Linked DNA regions of Saccharomyces cerevisiae S288C. Changing the gene in region 1 together with any one later gene gives a genetic interaction. Each region holds a gene or a part of one and is shown on either strand. Other genes may lie near its edges.

The links.
Region 2: mutations in LGE1 (region 1) and DEP1 together harm fitness more than expected from each alone (negative genetic interaction), as found in Saccharomyces cerevisiae (5 studies listed by BioGRID, with this or other methods).

Annotation. Positions count from the first base shown.
Region 1 is NC_001148.4:453,345-456,816, reverse strand, and holds LGE1 (Lge1p), read left to right. Parts: upstream 1-1,826; coding exon 1,827-2,825; downstream 2,826-3,472. Other genes in the region: LEE1 (Lee1p), read right to left, coding at 153-1,058; LCL1 (Lcl1p), read left to right, coding at 3,082-3,387. UniProt on the Saccharomyces cerevisiae protein: Required to activate transcription of PDR3, a gene involved in retrograde regulation of multidrug resistance, a phenomenon that takes place in cells that have lost their mitochondrial genome. Also required for ubiquitination of histone H2B to form H2BK123ub1.
Region 2 is NC_001133.9:127,657-130,987, forward strand, and holds DEP1 (Rpd3L histone deacetylase complex subunit DEP1), read left to right. Parts: upstream 1-1,613; coding exon 1,614-2,831; downstream 2,832-3,331. Other genes in the region: bifunctional N-glycosylase/AP lyase NTG1, read right to left, coding at 1-446; SYN8 (syntaxin), read right to left, coding at 596-1,363; cystathionine gamma-lyase CYS3, read left to right, coding at 3,143-3,331. UniProt on the Saccharomyces cerevisiae protein: Component of the RPD3C(L) histone deacetylase complex (HDAC) responsible for the deacetylation of lysine residues on the N-terminal part of the core histones (H2A, H2B, H3 and H4).

The DNA.
Region 1 (3,472 bases):
TAAAAGAATCCAACTCATACAATGAAATGTTTTTTATATTAAACGTGCTTTTTTTTATTATTTTTTGTTCTTATTTTCCGGCTTTCGGAAGATGTAGAGTGGTCCGGTATATTAATGCTTGAACTAGGAAAAACTATGGATGGGGCGGCTCTTCATTCATGACAGTATCTGGAATTGAAATTGTGAATAAGTAAATCTTCAATTTCATTATCTGATTCTTCTTGAATTGCAGGGCCTGTACGATACCTTAAATTCTGATTCACACTCGGATTCGATAACGTAGTTTGGCCTTGCTCTTGCCAAATGTTAGATGAAGACGAAGAGACTGGAGAATAGGCATTAATGTTGGAGTTATTATAGCTATAGTTGATGTACGAAGAAGAAGACGAAGGGGGAGAAAAGAATTCAGTATATAGGGCCTCTGGACTTTTCTGAGGCGAATACATTAGGTATTGCGAGGAAAAGTAGTTTGCATTCGAAGCAGAGTGAGAGAATTCCGTTTGTGCAGACAGAGGAGGAGACGTGTAGGTAGAGAAAGAAGCTGATCTAGCATGGGATAAGTAGTTGTTTTGTGAAGGGGGAGTGATGTCAATAGGTTCTTTACTGTTCATCTTGAACCCATTTGGCAGCACATGAGCATTAACACACTTGTTACCGAATTTACAGTTACCCTTTGCGAAATACTTGCAAGGTAAATTATTCGCAGAACTGATAATATCTGGGGAATGGGAAAAGGGACAAGACGAGCCAGCTTGGCAATTGCCCATCTTAAAAAATTTGCATGGCACGTGTGAATAGTCCTTCTGCTGTTGAGAATTGTTCTTCGTTATCAGTAAATGTTCCATGATAATTTTTTGTTGACGTGATGAGAAAGGCAGTTGATTGCCGACAGTACAATTTTTTGACAAATTTACATTTGCATTGCTGTCATTGAAAGACCTTGGAATATTCTGGAAATCCTGAATTTGCGATGCAAGCATTTCGTTTGCTGATTGGGAGTTTCTTCTTGCGTTACCGCCCGGATGATTTGATACAGACATATTCTCAAAAGCATCCATTTTGTTTTAGCAAATAATAGTTTTAAGATTTATAATAATAATAATAATAGTAATAGTAATAGTAGTAGTTATGATAGTGTTAGATAATAAAATCGAGATTTTGTAGAAACAAGGGGAAGCCGAAAAAGAAGAAATTATAATTACTCTAATATGACGGCACAAGAGAAAAGGGAAAAGAGTAACTGCTAAGAGATTCTGTTTTTATAATGCCCGGAGTAAAAGAAGCTTTGAGATTAAAAGATCACCACCATATTTTGTAATAATTTACTTTAGATTGAGATATAGGGGAAGAACTACACGAAGCACCGAAATCCAAAACTTAAAAATTACAAGATAAGCACGAAAATACATAATACAAATAAAAAATGATAAAGGCAGAATTATACTGTGGTACCTTGAAGATAAGAATACCGTACCACAACATGTTAATCTCCACATCATTTTATTACTAGCACTGCCACACCGTGCACCCCATACAGGATGTTGTCTGCACCTTTTCTTCCTATCATCTTTTTTATCCCACATCATACTGTGGCGGGCCTGTAGTAGAGCTCCCTTTCACCTTGGCGTTTTAAGGGGCGGGGCAAGAGTGGCGGGGAATTCCGCCGTTCCGAATTGAAAAAAAAGACACTTTGTACGGGCCATTACCCTGTGAAGTTCTTTTTTTTCTCTTATTTTCATCAGAGAGAATGAATCAACTGCGATGAAAGGAAAGAACACCACATTTATTACGAGGCAGAAGAGGTGACCAAAAAACCGCAGTAAAGTATGAGCGGATACACGGGAAATAATTATAGCAGATACTCATCCACTCCTCCGAGACAAAGGGGGGGTTATCACCATGCGAGACGAAGTAGAGGTGGAGCAGGCGGATCGTATTACAGAGGCGGTAATGCGTCTTATGGCGCGAGATACAACAGTGACTATGAGCAGCCGCCCCAAGAGGGAGACTTGAGACAAACCGGAGCATACTATCGAAACGGATACACAGATACAAGGCCGTACTATTCAGCTAATAGCAGGCATTACCAAGCACAACCATCCCCCAGGTACAACAATGGTACAAATTCGTACCACCTACCGCAACGTGGCAATAGTCAAGATACGAACGGCAGGACCACGAGCGCCTCGCAAGAAGATAATGACGAAAAAAGAGTCAAGTCCAGATACCGGAACATGCAGGCAGATCATCCACGCCAACAACCGATGAGCGTTGGCAGCACCAGCAGCAGAAATGGTAGTAGTGGGAACAGCAGCACTAGCAGCACCAGCAACGGGCTTCCGCCACCACCTTCAGTATCGTCTATAACCAACAATAGATCATATCACAGCAGTGCTTATCCATATTCCAGCAGCCATACTTACAATAATTACCACCACCGTGAGACACCACCGCCTCCCCCATCGAATGGCTATTATGCAAAGGGTTACCCAGTACACGTACCAGAAAATAGAAGTAACAGCGACGGCTCTAGCAGCAGCGTCGTCAAGAAGAAAAGAATACTAGATATGAAAGATTCCCCCTTTATTTACTTGACAGATTTTGATAAAAATGTGAAAAAGACAAACAACACCGAAAGTGAATGTGAAAAGGCGAGGGAAGTTTTCAAAGAGAGCGATTCCATCGATTCCGCTTTGGAAGAACTAAACCTAAAAATCAATTCTAATGAGCTAGAATTGCGGCTCCTAAATAACCAGTGCGACAAGCATGCATTAAATATTCAACTGACCCAAGAAAAGCTGGACTCATTGTTATTAATGCAGTAGGGTATACCGTACCTATAAATAGATAAACTACGTAAACGCAAGCGGCGGAAATTGAAAAAGGAAATTATAAGGAAGTGACTAGCGTTTTGATTTCATGAATCGAGAAAAGGTACTGCTAGGTTAAGCCCGATTAGGTAAAGAGCCAGGAAAGCGACTAGGAAAGCGACTACGAAAAAAGAAAAAACTGCGAAACTGTGAAAGTGCGTGTCAGCCATCTGTCTTTGGAATCGATTATCTATTTGCTTTGATCCCCTTTATGAAGAACGCAGCATTGTGTGAGGCTCTTCCTCTGCTCGCCACGTGCTCCCACGAAATCCCACCCACACCACACACGGTCTGTTTCGTCTTCCCCCCCGCATTATTACTATCCCCGAGCAAACTCACACTTTTGAATTCGCGTCGCGTCGCGTCGCGCTGCGTCATTATCATTGACCCACGCTTGCTGCGTCTCTTCTCTTGCTCCCGGCCACAACAACTCCCCCGGGATAAAAACCAATCTTTTGCTAAGCCATCTTTTTCTTTTTTTTTCTTTCTTCTTACCTCGTTATTATCGCCTTTCTAAACTTCCTTGGCCAAGCCTTTCAGCGGTGCTTTTTTGTTCTCACGTCCACTGCCAATTTCCACATTTTTTTCCCCTCTTGTTATAT
Region 2 (3,331 bases), on another chromosome or scaffold:
CCAAGAAGGACCTGTAATCTGTAGTCCCTCGGTGATATCTGCTCTTTCGAGATACCACACTTAGAGGCAACCGTTACAGGAATGGATGATCCACCAATTATATCGACGGGGGCTAGAATCTTAGATCTCAGTACTCGCATTCTAGCGTATGTTTCTTGAAACTTGTAAGGGACTTTCGTCGAGGCCGGAGTGACAAGGATCGAGGGGTCCAATGGTGTGGCCCACCTGTTGGGCACATTGCCGTTTCTAACCACAATCCATTCGAAGTACTGCTTATTTGGCAGCGATTTAACCCAGTCGATATCCACGGGTTGAGGGACAACCTCTTCTTGTTTGATTTTGGTCCTTTTCTCCGGTAGGAGTTCTGATTCTGGCCCAGTTTCAGTCTTTACCAGCGGTCTTTTCCTCAGAATTGCCATAGATGAGTATTTACTGATCTTTTGCATATTTTTTTTTTTTTTGGGCTATAAAGTATATATAGATACAAATATATGATGAATCATTAAAGAGGAGGTTATTACTAAGTGAAAGAAAAAGAAAAAAAAAAAGATCAAAACCAAACTTCGTATTCGAGCCTAAAAAACAGAATATAATGTTATAATACTAATAGAAGCAACAGGAGCACCACTATCAGCACAAGAATAATCACGCAGTTGCCGTTATCCTTGAACCTAGAATTGTTAAAGCCATGCATGGACCGAGAGGCCCTGTTCAAATTCCTACCATTATTATCAATCAGGTTTTCTAAATCAACCAGCAGCGAGTCGTTCTGAGAAACGATCTCATTATTAAGGTCCAGCGAAATGTCATGAGTCCTCCCAATAGACTGAGACAGTGCGCCCAAGTGGGAATCTTGCTCTAACAACTGCTGTTGCTGGTTAATAAATAGTTCTTGGTTGGAAACCATGGGTTGTGGTGGCTGTGGCTGTGACTGTGACTGTAACTGCGATTGCAATGGTTCATCCTTGTATGGAGTATGCGTCGAAGGCAGCGGCGACTCCTCGTCTTGTTCATCGTCATCCTTATACATGACCGTAAGCTCGTCATCATTCTTGAACCGCACTTTTTTCAAAGACTCTTTGGACACCTCATCAGTATTTCTTGCCACCTGCTGTTGGAACCTATACAACTCCTTGTCAACCGCCGTATCAGGAATTTTGTCCAGTATGGTATTGTATCGGGATATTAGTTCATCATTGGGCGCACACTTCTGCAATAACTCCAATATTGAGCCCAATTGCCGTTTCAAAGTAACGTTATCGTTTGAGGTCGGGGCGAGCTTCAACACCGACACTAGCCTTGTTCTTTCTTCGACCAGATCAGAGAGCTGGTCCAGTTCATAACCCAGCTTCAACACATCCATACCGTGTGTGCTTACGCATCTATTTGCTGTCGTGAGATCTGTCTCTATGCTTTATTCGTTTTCCATTGTAAAGTCTCAGCATTTATTTCTTGTTCTTTACTTGTTTTTGCCCTTTCGGGTGATCAAAGTCGTGCTGGGAAATTTTATTCTTATAAAATGATTTTTAGAAATAATAAACTCATAACAGTGCAACGGCAAAGTACAAGGGAAGGAAGCACAGAAGCAAGAGGAGGCGCATCGATCGTGGCAGATGAGTCAGCAAACACCACAGGAAAGTGAACAGACCACAGCGAAAGAACAGGACCTTGATCAAGAGAGCGTGTTGAGCAACATTGACTTCAATACGGATTTGAATCACAATTTGAATTTATCGGAATACTGTATATCCAGTGACGCAGGAACAGAGAAGATGGATAGCGACGAGGAGAAGTCGTTGGCCAATCTGCCGGAGTTGAAATACGCTCCCAAGCTATCCAGCCTGGTGAAGCAAGAGACGCTCACCGAGAGCTTGAAAAGACCACACGAAGATGAGAAAGAGGCGATAGATGAGGCCAAGAAGATGAAAGTGCCGGGAGAGAACGAGGACGAAAGCAAGGAAGAGGAAAAGAGTCAAGAACTGGAAGAGGCAATTGACAGCAAGGAGAAGAGCACCGACGCCAGGGACGAGCAAGGGGACGAAGGTGATAATGAGGAGGAAAACAACGAGGAGGATAATGAAAACGAAAACGAGCATACAGCACCGCCTGCGCTGGTGATGCCCTCCCCCATCGAAATGGAGGAACAGAGGATGACTGCGCTGAAGGAAATCACCGACATCGAGTACAAGTTCGCGCAATTGCGCCAAAAACTATATGACAATCAATTGGTGCGGTTGCAAACGGAGCTGCAGATGTGTCTGGAAGGGTCACACCCGGAATTGCAGGTCTACTACTCGAAGATTGCCGCGATCCGTGACTACAAGCTACACCGAGCGTACCAGCGACAGAAGTACGAGCTTTCATGCATCAACACAGAAACAATCGCTACCAGGACATTCATTCACCAGGACTTCCACAAGAAGGTCACCGACCTGCGAGCCAGGCTGCTGAACAGAACCACGCAGACCTGGTACGATATCAACAAGGAGCGCCGCGATATGGATATAGTCATCCCAGATGTCAATTACCACGTCCCCATCAAACTTGATAACAAGACGCTGAGCTGTATCACGGGCTACGCCAGCGCAGCACAGCTGTGCTATCCCGGCGAGCCCGTGGCAGAGGACCTCGCTTGCGAAAGCATCGAGTACCGCTACAGAGCCAACCCGGTGGACAAACTCGAAGTCATTGTGGACCGAATGAGGCTCAATAACGAGATTAGCGACCTCGAAGGCCTGCGCAAATATTTCCACTCCTTCCCGGGTGCTCCTGAGTTGAACCCGCTTAGAGACTCCGAAATCAACGACGACTTCCACCAGTGGGCCCAGTGACCGCCACACTGGACCCCATACCACTTCTTTTTGTTATTCTTAAATATGTTGTAACGCTATGTAATTCCACCCTTCATTACTAATAATTAGCCATTCACGTGATCTCAGCCAGTTGTGGCGCCACACTTTTTTTTCCATAAAAATCCTCGAGGAAAAGAAAAGAAAAAAATATTTCAGTTATTTAAAGCATAAGATGCCAGGTAGATGGAACTTGTGCCGTGCCAGATTGAATTTTGAAAGTACAATTGAGGCCTATACACATAGACATTTGCACCTTATACATATACACACAAGACAAAACCAAAAAAAATATGACTCTACAAGAATCTGATAAATTTGCTACCAAGGCCATTCATGCCGGTGAACATGTGGACGTTCACGGTTCCGTGATCGAACCCATTTCTTTGTCCACCACTTTCAAACAATCTTCTCCAGCTAACCCTATCGGTACTTACGAATACTCCAGATCTCAAAATCCTAACAGAGAGAACTTGGAAAGA